Linked DNA regions of Oryzias latipes. The protein of the gene in region 3 purifies or fractionates together with the protein of the main gene of each other region. This does not show direct contact. Links are inferred from orthologs where the notes say so. Each region holds a gene or a part of one and is shown on either strand. Other genes may lie near its edges. The genes, in order: wdr48, rfc5 and ATPase family AAA domain-containing protein 5.

What was found.
Region 1: the proteins of ATPase family AAA domain-containing protein 5 (region 3) and wdr48 purify together in Homo sapiens (affinity purification with western blotting; 3 studies listed by BioGRID). This does not show direct contact. The link is inferred for Oryzias latipes from reciprocal best matches to the Homo sapiens genes ATAD5 and WDR48.
Region 2: the proteins of ATPase family AAA domain-containing protein 5 (region 3) and rfc5 purify together in Homo sapiens (affinity purification with mass spectrometry; 4 studies listed by BioGRID and IntAct, counting the BioPlex papers as one, with this or other methods). This does not show direct contact. The link is inferred for Oryzias latipes from reciprocal best matches to the Homo sapiens genes ATAD5 and RFC5.

What each region holds. Positions count from the first base shown.
Region 1 is NC_019875.2:17,404,498-17,408,571, reverse strand, and holds the start of wdr48 (WD repeat-containing protein 48), read right to left. Parts: upstream 2,814-4,074; 5' UTR 2,732-2,813; coding exon 2,684-2,731; intron 2,029-2,683; coding exon 1,888-2,028; intron 1,779-1,887; coding exon 1,700-1,778; intron 1,619-1,699; coding exon 1,406-1,618; intron 1,313-1,405; coding exon 1,224-1,312; intron 677-1,223; coding exon 575-676; intron 489-574; coding exon 264-488; intron 1-263. UniProt on the Homo sapiens protein: Regulator of deubiquitinating complexes, which acts as a strong activator of USP1, USP12 and USP46. Enhances the USP1-mediated deubiquitination of FANCD2; USP1 being almost inactive by itself.
Region 2 is NC_019867.2:3,442,323-3,446,316, forward strand, and holds the start of rfc5 (replication factor C subunit 5), read left to right. Parts: upstream 1-1,178; 5' UTR 1,179-1,319; coding exon 1,320-1,366; intron 1,367-1,618; coding exon 1,619-1,683; intron 1,684-1,757; coding exon 1,758-1,894; intron 1,895-1,976; coding exon 1,977-2,056; intron 2,057-2,147; coding exon 2,148-2,221; intron 2,222-2,552; coding exon 2,553-2,712; intron 2,713-3,799; coding exon 3,800-3,881; intron 3,882-3,951; coding exon 3,952-3,994. UniProt on the Homo sapiens protein: Subunit of the replication factor C (RFC) complex which acts during elongation of primed DNA templates by DNA polymerases delta and epsilon, and is necessary for ATP-dependent loading of proliferating cell nuclear antigen (PCNA) onto primed DNA.
Region 3 is NC_019866.2:13,221,131-13,225,084, reverse strand, and holds the start of ATPase family AAA domain-containing protein 5, read left to right. Parts: upstream 1-1,154; 5' UTR 1,155-1,466; intron 1,467-1,887; 5' UTR 1,888-1,900; coding exon 1,901-1,951; intron 1,952-2,325; coding exon 2,326-3,902; intron 3,903-3,954. UniProt on the Homo sapiens protein: Has an important role in DNA replication and in maintaining genome integrity during replication stress.

The DNA.
Region 1 (4,074 bases), on a different chromosome or scaffold from region 3:
CATCAACATGTGTTATTTAATGCGATAGCTTTAGTTAAAATTTTATAAAACAAAAAAAGAGACCAACAATGTCCGGATGATTTAAGTTAGTGGGGAAAAAAATGGAAGCTTGATTAAACTACTAGAACTGACAAGTAGAGCTACAATTATTTAGACAGAACTGTTGTGCTATAAAAAAAGTTACTAAAAGTGTATATTTATTTTATAAAGCCACAGTTTGGGGACATTAGACAGTTTGCTAAAAGAGTGTTTTGTTCTGTTACTTTGAGCACTGGGGCCTTCTCCTCGCAGATGAGCACACGGATGTCTGGGTTCCGCAGGTCCGTACAGTAGATCTTCTTGTCTCTGCCTCCTGAATAGACATGCGTAAAGGCCTCGTTGACCTGCAGGGCCCACACGCCTTCGTCGTGCACTCGGTACGTGGCGATACACCTCTGCTGGCCCAGAGACCAGAGGCGGATGGTCCCATCCGAGCTGCCGGACAGACACTGCCGGGGGAGCAGAGCGGGATTAAAGAGTTTGGGATTCCTGCGGCTCAGCATGATGAGGTTTTTGAAGCGCTTTGGTGAATCACCTGCGTGCCGTCTCGGTTCAGCAGCAAGGACTTGACGTTGTCCGTGTGACCTTTTAGCTTCATGAGTTTTGCACATGTCCGAGGATCCCACACTCTCAGAACCTGAAGGTTGGAGAAAGAGCTAAATTTATGTAGATAAACAAACCTTACAGTTTGATTACAATTTATAGTGCAGCTGAATTAAAGCAACAATTAACAACCAATTTGGCCTCAAACAAATAAAAAAACCAAAGCAAAATTCAAGGCAAAGAAGATATATTTAAAATGTTTGTAGTCTAATTTTGCCAAGATTACTACTATAAGGCCTAAGTGAATGAATGTGTGTGACAGATTTATTACATAGAAGAATTGTCATTGTACTGCCTCATAAAGAGCATTCAATGTTGGAACAATAGAGAGGATACCCCCCTTTAGGAGGAAAAAACTTCCAAAAACAACAACACTTAGTAGAGGCAATAGACTAGCAGGATTCTTAGGACAAAAAAACAAACAACAAAAACTCACGCTGTCAAGATTTAAAATCTTACAGATCTAACTTCAGGCTAAAGCAAGATAAAAAATATAAGAAATATGAAAACAAAGCAAAAAGAAAAAATTTTGTGCATTGGTTCACCATAGATTTTTTTTTTTTTGGAGATGTGTGTCAAACCTTTTCAGTGGATCCAGAAACAATAACTGTGCCCATCTGGTTCATTGCCAGACTGTAGATTGAGTCCTTGTTCCCGCTCAGCGATGACGCTGAAGGAACACAGAAAAGCCCAAAGGTGGATCACAAACACGTCTACCCATGAAAGCGGGCTAAACCCATCACATGACTATAGGTGTACTCACTAGTGACTGTGTTATTCGAAGCAGTGAGGGCAGTTAGCGTGTTTACGTCCCAAAGAAAGATCTGCCGATCCAGACCGGCCGATGCTACAAGCTCTTTGTCTTTGGCGTACGCCAAAGCTTTAACATAGTCCTTGTGCGTTCGTAACGTTGACATGCAAAATCCTTTATGCGCGTTCCATACTTTCACCGTTGTATCTGAAGAGGCAGATATCACTGGAGGAGAAGGAGAGGTGAGTTGCTAGAGGCTAAACACAAACTTTGGATCAAATCTGCTGTTAATACTTATAAACTCACATGTTTTCCCATTGCAGCAAAGGACTATATCGTTTACCCAATCTGTATGATGCTCCATTGATGCAATGTATGGGTCCTGCTGCAAAAAACGTAGCATCATTTAAAAGAGTATCTCTGTCGCTTTATATGCAGCTGCAAAACTCTAAAACAAAAAAATGTATATATTTAATTGAAGTCATAAACTGTACTTTGTGCTGATAGACACTCCATATCCGGATGATTGAGTCCCTCCCAGCAGTGAAGAGCCGGTTGAGTGCAGGATCTAGCTGGAGTGCATTCACCCCGTTTCGATTGTACTTCTCCACCTCGTCCCTAATAACGTAAGACACCTGTGGCACAAAGATGCGACTGCAGTCAGCCTCTCTCTTGGACCGGCGCCTGGTTCAGGCTTACAGGCAGTGTTGAACCCACAACACACCCACTTTTGGACGTGGAACACGCTTCACGCACTCGCATCACCGTAAGGGGACGAAGACGTAACCGACACAAAACCTCCCGGTATAATTAGAACACACTATGAAATTAAAGATAGCGTCCCTTGTGAAGCATAACGAATGGGCAGAAAATGGCAGATATATACGGAGACGCTTTCGTCGTACCAGCAATTAGACGCAGCCAGGACACAGTGTAGCTTAACCAGCATCATCGTAACCGTTACGTCAGATTTAGCTAAAACACACCGGCATTTACGCAAAGGGGAAAATGGCCAACTGACATGTAAAGTTTTTCGGATATGCAACTAAGGTATTTGAAGAAGCAAATTGTAAGTTAGAGGCTCCTTTTCCAACGGTGCTAACACCTTACTTAAGCTAAGCTAACAGGGTTAGCCGGCTTGCACCATGACATGAGTCATAGTTGTCACGCCGCTTCCGCAAGTGATTTTTTGCTGCCGCTTCAGCAGGTATGAGACACTTGTGCAAACCTAAAAGACAACAATTACATTGTTCCCACACACTAAGTTCTTATAAAACTCAGAAAACGTACCTGTACTTTCCTCCGCCCAGCGGCATTTTGCCTGTGATGTGTGGCCATCTTGCATGTTGACAGTCAATTCATGTGATGCTACATCCGGTAAAAAAAAAGAAAACAAGAAAACGGTTTCGACGATGTGCATTATGGGTATTGTAGTTAAATGTTTAGGGGAAAAAAGTTAAATGTTTAGTGTCCACTTAGCATGTTGTTTTTTGATTTAGTTTTGAATGTTTTTGATAATACTGGGCAAGTTTTATATTAATAAAATATTTTTTTCAAAAAATCTACCACATTGAAAATGTATTTTACAAGGAGATTTGTTTATATTTTAATTCATTCGAATTTATGAAAATCAAAAAGCAAGAAAACTTCTCACTTTTGCTGAGGACAATAAGTTATATGACAACCCAGTATTTTTTATGTGCTTTATTTTCTTATATGTCTTTATTTTGCCATCTTCTTTTGTTCAAGCATGTAACCAGTTTGTTTGTTTTTTAAGTATCAACATTTAATAAATAATACGTAGGTGTATTTTTATTTTATGTCGTTAGCATAATTCACAGTTGTTGGAAATACATTTGCGGTTTTGCAGTTTTAAAGCTTAAAATTATTTTTTTAAATAAAATGTTCAACATACATATATCTTTAAGTTGTTTCAGATATATGGTTTAATTTTTAATACGAATTTGTGATATTAGGCTAGTCAACATGATCCCTAGAGCCTCCTTTGAGCTTTGTGGGTCTTTCTGTGGTGTTTTATTTTTACTACTCTACAGTTAAAAACTTTATGATGTCTAAGTAGTGCTATAAACCTTTTGGTCTACAAAATTAAAAATACAGTGTACTCTTTTCAGCCTTCTATGTTTTAGGGTATTGCAGGATAATAGAGAATGCAATACCTATCAGTCTTTTCAATTAAGAACTTTGACTCTTTTTGTGATTAAAAAAAGAAAATACTTGTTTTTATATATAACATTATAGTCACATAACAATGTCAAATATTGATATTCTCTTGCATAAATGTAAGTGCTGTTGAACTTAAAGATATACTACATTGATATAAAAGCAAAAAAAAAAAAGATAATTGTTAAAAACAATCAATTCCCCATTTTGACAGGGGAAGTAACGCTGTGTTGTATAAAAAAAACACCAGGGAAAGACTTTCTTTTAATTCTATATTTATTTGTTACTTTTATTTCTGTAGGAGAATATTGTTTAGGGCATTTTTTTATTTTCAACGGCACCTCGTTGAAAATAGTAAATTAGTAACTTAAAAAAAGTTTTAAAAAAAGTGTGCGAATATGGTGTGCGAATATGGATATAAATGAATCCTTTGCACCCCCCCCCCCCCCCCCCCCCGTTATAAGTGTATTTGGCCTCGTCAATGGACAGGTTTAGTCTGC
Region 2 (3,994 bases), on a different chromosome or scaffold from region 3:
GACTCTGGCTTTGAGCCGTGAGAGGGTCGCCTCCATTGCAACAACAGTCCTCGCAGCTCCAGCTGGATGATCAAGGATGTAAACTAGACCAAACTCAATGTGAGGATGCGGAGCGGGGCTGAGCGGTCTGCTACAGCATCCATCGGGCGTCCTTTCCGTTCTAATGGATGCTGAGGAAGGGGGGGGGGGGGAGAAAAAAAAGGGGGGGAAAGGAACCAAATTTGCTGCTCAGCGCATCCTAAACAGCCGGATCGGGTAGAACCTGGCGGTTTTAAAGGTGCTGATGTGCGGATTGGATGCAGGTACTCCCTGTCTCCCTTGGCAGCAGCTGCATCCCGGTTCGCTCCCACCACACCGACATGTTTCCCGTCAATCAAAGCCACAGCAACAGCATCGCAGCGCCGCCGTAAGGGGCCGCTCTCGCGTGATCACGGCGCGCTCAAGTGGGTTCTCGTCTGCTGGACGAGAAACGCATCATCTGCGACAAATGATCTTTATTTTTCAGGGTGATATTTCATCAAATTAAACATAATTCAGCAATCTTACTAAAATGCAAACGAAGTGCCTGTTAAACTAAAAGGTTAAACAAAATTTGAAAACATTTTTTAAAACATTTATTGTGTGTACTCACCCAAGTTATTAAATAATGGGGGGGGGGGGGGCATGTTTTACTTATTTATTTATTGTTTTTGGTTGTCGCCTGGTTAGGTAGCTAAATAGTTAACGTCTAAAGCGTATATTCTAAATGAAACGTATTAAAAACCAAACAGATTAAGAAACTTGTGTATTTTTCTATTAATTTAATTTACCTATTTTACGAAATACTTATTGCACAAGTTAGATAGAAATGTATGTACATCAGGGGATTAAATATTGTTTTTTTCCTGTTAAATGCTTTAAAGTCTTATACAAATCTTTAAAATTAGTCTGATTTCCACAGCACATTAATTTTCGTTCTGAAATGTTCAAGAAAATCGGTCAAAAATGTTTTCGCCTACGGATAAATATCAAACTAACACAGAGATTTCTATTTTACAAGATAATCAACTCAAAAATGTTTATAAAATAAACAAAAAACAATTTTAAGCTTTACTTTAGAAAATATTAAAATTCTTCAATTGATATTGTGGTTTTTTTTACAGTTTACCTTCAACATATCACCATGATCCCACCCACCGGAAAGCAAAACGACATTCTGTTGGTGTTACGTCATGACGTTGGCGTGCGTTTCTGTCGCGAGCGCGGCAAAAGGAAGCGACATAGAACAGACGGGGTTTTTCCTCTACTTGCCCGGCTAATAAATAAAGTTACCGGGAGTCATGGCGTCTACGAGTAGGACCCCGTTACAGAGCAGAAACCTGCCATGGTGAGCCGCGACGAACGAGACGTTTGAGAAGCGGCGAGAATGTCGTTGTTGTCTAAGACTAAGCTAGCTGCTCCTTCAAGTTCTTGTTTGTCTCCAGTCAGAGGCTGTGCTTTTTTTTTTTGTTTTGTTTTCTTTTAAGTTTGTTCAGCTTTTTAAAGGCCTACACACTTCTTAAAAAGAAGGGAAAAAAAGAAATATTCTACTAAACAACGTCTTTGTTTTTGTGCTAAAAGTGTTTGTTTTGCATTTCAGGGTAGAAAAATATAGACCACAAAAACTCGATGATTTAATTTCACACAGAGACATCCTGAGCACCAGTAAGTTTGTTCATTTAAGGAAGCAAATCGACTCTGTGGTGTCCAGAGTTCTGAAGGTCTCCATGTCTCTTCAGTCCAGAGGTTCGTCAGAGAGGACCGGCTTCCTCACCTCCTGCTCTACGGGCCTCCTGGAACCGGAAAGACCTCCACCATTCTGGCCTGTGCCCGGCAACTGTACAAGGACAAGGAGTTCAACTCCATGGTGCTGGAGGTACCGTCTCCACTCAGGATCTTTAGTCTGCAGGGATTTTCTCATCTCCAAGGGTCCTGATTCTGATTCTCTTCTGTTCAAGCTGAATGCTTCAGACGACAGGGGTATCGATGTGGTCCGAGGTCCCATCCTGAGTTTTGCCAGCACCAGAACCATCTTCAAGTGAGTCGGTACCGCTCCAGCTCTCTGTGACCTTCTGCAGAGATTCCCTCCAGACAACTCCAAACTCCTTTTTCCTCCCTTTGATCCCCAGGAAAGGCTTCAAGCTGGTGATCCTGGACGAGGCCGATGCCATGACCCAGGATGCCCAGAATGCATTGCGGCGAGGTGAGCCATCTGTTCGCCTAAGTATGGCTTGCTGTGAGCGACACGGCTCACTGGGCAGCCAAATCATTTGGCTGATGATGCATGGGTCTGCATGAAAACACAACCGTTTTCTAAAATAATCCTTTGCATTGATTTTGTTGATTAAAATTTTTTTTTTCATAGGTGTTGAAAGTAGGTTATCGTCAACGATCTCATAAACGAATTAAGATGTTTGCAGATTTTCAAAATAAGACGATTTTAAGTAACTTTATCCCATTGAACTAACGTTTTGGCAGGTAACAGTCTGTCTTTTTATTTTTGTAAACTTCCTGCTGTCTCCCGTACGCCTCAGTGATTGAGAAGTTCACAGAAAACACCCGGTTCTGCCTCATCTGCAACTACCTTTCCAAGATCATCCCCGCCCTGCAGTCCCGGTGCACCAGGTTCCGCTTCGGGCCTCTGTCGGCGGACCAGATGATCCCCCGGCTGAGGCACGTCATTCAGGAGGAGAGGTGAGGAAAACCGGGACCGCTTTCGGCCTCTGAAGTCTCTCACTTTCTGAGTCTGTCAGAAGCATTAAAAACGACTGTGATGTTGACATGAAAAGATGCTTTCAAAGGATTTTTGAAAAATTAGGACTATAAATGGAATGAAAAACTTTACATTCTCGTTTCTGCCATTCGCATTCATCGCTTTTTAAGCTTTTCATTAAGAATCTCTCAGTTTTCTTTTTTTCTTTTTTTGATCCGATTTCACGTTTTTTTATGCTGATACCCGAGTCTCGCTCCAATACTTTTATAACACATTTTAAAAGTTGAATAAACAAATGCAGGTTTTCCCGTTTTTATTCTATTCCCCCTTTATTTTGTCAGAAAAAGAGCACCTCTGTGAACAATTAAGTACAAATAGTGCAACCATCAACTAGAAAAAATAACAAACTATTAACTGGTAAAAATAGTTGATAATTAGTCATGTGAGAAAGTTTGGTGACTGTAGCTTTGGCTCTTCAGAGCTTTTTGGATCAGATGTGATTTTTTTTTTTTTACTTTGGGAAAAAGAAATACCCATTTTTTTAAAAGGCATGAATATGATGAGTATTTATGACTTAACTTATATAAACAGAACCATTTATGTATTTGTGTTGTTTTTGAGAGTTTATTATCTTCTGATCACTTTTTCACAGAGCTTTCTTTTTGTAGACGGTCCCTTAGCAGCTCTTTTCACTGCCGTTTCTCTCTTTAATTCTCCGTATTTGAAAAACACATCGCATTTTTCTTTAAAGGTCATCGTTTACGTTAAGACAAACCAATAGAGACACTTGCTGTCAGTTTCAAATGTTAATTAAAAGAATTTTGAAACCTAGAAGTCCAAATATCCTTCAGACTTTACCAAACTGTGTTTGTGCGCCTCCCGCTCAAGCTAGTGCCATGTTTTTGCTGCGTTTTAGGGCAATAAGATGTTGTGATCCGTCCATGAGATGCAGACGTCTAGTACAGGATTTATCTGTAAAAATAAGCTTTAAATGCATAGCGCTGATCATAATAATTTTCCTCTTTAAACTTCCTTTTGGCCTTTAATGAGCTGAATCTTGTCTGGTAGCATCGACATCACCGAGGATGGGATGAAGGCCATCGTGACTTTATCGTCCGGCGACATGAGGAGGTCGCTGAACGTCCTGCAGGTGGGACCTCCTCACTCCTCCTGCCGGGATGTTCTCCAGCAGAGAGGAAAGACTTTTCGTGTCCTTTCAGAGCACCAGCATGGCGTACGGGAAGGTGACGGAGGACTCCGTGT
Region 3 (3,954 bases):
GACAGACAGTTTTCATAAATATGTATGGCTTTTTTTAAGCTATTAGAAATAGCATGTAGATAAGATTCTAATTCTTTAATTATTACAGGGGGTAAAAGTTGTGATAAGGAAAACTTTGATTTGTGAATATGAAATTTACCAAATATAAGTAGATTAATTGCCAATTTTACATTTGATCTTGTGTTTTTTTCGTGTAGGCCAAATATGATATGTTCAAATTTCATCTGATATTGTGAATCTAATTTGTAATTTAAAAAACGTGCACACTCTTTCCAAAGTTTTTTATTACAGTTCCAAAATAGGTGACTGATTGTTTCTGGGTGTTCTTAACAAAAGGTAGAGTTGGGGTCAATATAGTCTTCTTATATCTGAGCATGTATTGATTAGTGGGATAGATTCTATGTAGGAGTTTGTAGGAGACGTCTCTCATGTTGTTATTTATTAATAATTTCTGATGCAGGGTCCAAACATTTTTCCAGGGCAAGTCAGGAATAAATTTTCTCCATTAAAAAACAGCAGAGGGAACAGAAAAAACATTTTGCTGAAACAGGACACGTATGATCTTGTTATTTTTTTCGGGCACAGTTGAAACAAGATTTTCCAATAGTGGTGTCACTTAGAGATATGAAGGAAATATTTGCATCAAGTACAGTATTTTTAAAGAGTTCACAGATTTCAGTGGTAACGGCGTCAAAAAAAATGGCATGCTCTCTTGGAGGAACAGCAAGGTTATATTTAAGGTTAAATTCATCATGACCCACCAGTAGGATATTATTGGTATCTTCTTATTGACTAATTATTTTAGTGAGCAAAGTTTTTTTCCATCGATTTTTTACAACGAATTTCTAGGACATTGAAATGTTGTGCCTCGAAATTAAAAATATTGAAACATTTGAGAGAGAAAATAACAGGGCATAACATTTTGCTGTTTGAAAATCAAGGGTTAAAAAAAAATTCAGAGGTTTAAAAAATTCCGAATCTGATGGAGCAGAAAAACCCATATGAACATTGCGACAGTGTTGTCTTTAGAGGGCGCTCTAAATGTTTCAGTATCAGTAAATTGCAAGTCCGCACGCCATCTTTGTTTGGGGTAAACTACGTCACAATATGACGAAATCGATCTCCGTCTTGTGATTGGTGGACGAGTGTCCTGTCAAAGGTCACATTTATTTGGCGCTTTTCACTCTCGGTCAGTCTGGCGCGTTTTTGAATGGACTGTTTATGTCAAGAGAATATATATACACATATTTTTTTCTAATTGGGGCGCTTACTATTTTATAGACCGTGAGTAGAACACGGTGGCCTTTTGCTTCTCATAAGGCGGTAAAATATTTGAAGCTTTCGCGGGAACTATGAAACTATTATTCGCCGAAATCTGCTAGCTTGTTGTTTTACAGTGAAACCGATGACAATGGTGGAGTGGTCTTGGAGCAGAACAATATAAAGAAGCTTAAACAACCTCACAGGTAAAACAAGTGGCGGATTCGACATCAATGAATGGGCTAGTATTGCTAGCATTTATTTACAATGTTTCAGTTTTGGGCATATTATGTTACTGATGATATATTTTCAAAAATATATTTTTTATGAACGTCCAAAAACCCCACCTTACAATTCTGTGAAACATGATAAACGGTTGCTAAAAAAATGAAACCTAACAATGGGCCAAAATTTTGCCTAAACAGATAAGTTTAAGCATTAGCTTCCTTTTTACTGTATGTCCAAGTCAAGTGACACTTTTAGGCTAAGGCTTGCCTGTTTCTACTAGGGAAAAACGTCCAAAAGATTTGATTTAAATTAAAAATAAAAAAACAGCAGTTTTTTTTTTTGTATCTTTGTATGTGTATATTTGCTCTAATTCAGTTTTTATGTTTTGCTTTGCTTCAGGTCCTGTCAGATTATGGCTGGTGTTGTGGCTATGGCCTCTGTCATTGAGGACTTTGACACCCAGGTAGAGAAACAACAGCAAGCTGGTTTTTCTTTCCATAAACTCTTAGTCATACGTCAGCGGGTGTCCTGTGAATCCATGTTATGTATTTTATGTATGTAGTTGATTCATGGAGGCACGTCTGTCTCACATGTTCTTAACATCTGTCAAATTGTTTATTTTGTTTTTGCTTTGAATTTTAAATAATTATTTTTATGAACTCTGTCATGCTTGGCCCTAAGTTATGCAGTTATATTTCATATAAATCTAAAACTATTGTTGAGACCTGTGCATTAAGGCTATGATAGGCAGTTGTGGTGTTTAGGCTGTTTTGTTGTGTTTGTTTCCACTGAAATCTATACCGTAAAAAAATAATCACTTTGTCTTTCCTTCAACAGCCTGGCAAGAAGTCTCGCAAAGATAGTGGTGGTCCTGCTGCCAAGCCAATCACAAACTATTTCTCTCCTGTGCCTAAGCCGGTGGAGAAACCCTTTTCTCCTCCTCACTCCAATAATATTATGAGCTATTTTTGTCGAAAAGCTTCCTCGTCTAAAGAACAGACATGCCCGCCCGAGCCGTCTTTAGAAAAGTGTCAGGAGTCTCAAGAGGAGGAAAAACAAAGAAAGTCAGAAGGAAAGAGAGCGCCGTCTCAGAAACGTGGTAAAAAGAGTGGGAGAGGTGCCAGGCAGCTCGTACCCGCTGAAAGTATCGGTGATGTGGACTGCATGATAGTTGAAGAAGCCCCTGAAAACACAGACTCTGCAGCAGATCTACAGTCTACTGTTGATTCGTCAGAAAGCGATCAACCTCAGAAAAAGGATATAAAGTCTGAATCAGCACTTCAAACTTCTGAATTGACTCCAAGAAATGAATCAAAATCTACTAAAGCTTCACAAAAACAAAGGAAGAAGAAGCAAAATCCTTCCGAGCCAGAGAAAGAAGCAGAGTGTGATGTTAGTTTGAAGGCCAGTGATGAAGAGGCCGCATGTATTAAAGACAGCACGGTCAAAATCTCATTCGAGGAGTTTCTGCGCAGTCAAAGCAAGAATGAAGACAACAAAAGCGATGATGAAGGCATTAAAACGATGTCAGAAGAGAAGACAAAGGCTGAGCAGTTGGATATCCCCACAGCTGAACAACACGTAGATTTGTTGGCGTCTCCTCTGCAGATCTCGCCTCGAACTGTCACCATACAAGCAGAAGTGCACGCAATCTCACCCGACAGGGAAGACGTCAAAAGAGTTGGAAAACTGGCTTCAATCTTCAACCAGAAACGAAGCTCTAATAGTCCCGTAGAGACCAGCACATCTCCCCACACTGATTCAGGACCCAAGCTTTCTTCTCCCACCGTGAAGCGGAAATCCAACGTGGTTCTTCAGGAGGAAGATCTCGAGCTCTCTGTGCTTGAAAGCGAATCCGCTCCAAAGTGCAGTGAAGCGGAGAGAAAACAGTTCATGGCAGCTTTCAAGCAGCCCGGCGTGGATGGGCCCAAAAGTAAACCTGTCAGGAGCCAAGGTAAACAGAAAGAAGCCGCAGAGAAAACGCCGAATGCTGCAGGCAAAACGGCTGATGGTGAGGATCTGATCATGCAGCCTACGGTCGAGGAAACCCAACGAGAGAAGAAAGAAGCCACAAAGAAACGGCCGAAAAAGGGAAGGATTGAAGCTACAGAGAAAAACGAGGCGGCCAATACTTTGCCTGCAGGTCCAGATGTGACAGACGCCGCAGCTGCTCCACCTGTGCCAGTCACGAGGAGATCCAAACGAGAGGCCGTCATTCGACAAACGTCTCAGAGCACGCCAACGACTCCTGTCAGAAAAACAAGGAGACAACAGGCGTCTAATGAGGCCGTGACTCCTTCCATATCACAGGAAAGCCCTCTAAAGCTGGTGCCTTCCAAGACACGCAAGTCCAAGTACTGTGTGTTTGTGGCAGAGATCATAAGCTCACCAGATACCAAGCAAAGTCCAATCAGGTGATGCATCCATTTAAACTGTCCTTAAGTAAAGGTGCTTTTGGGCATTTTT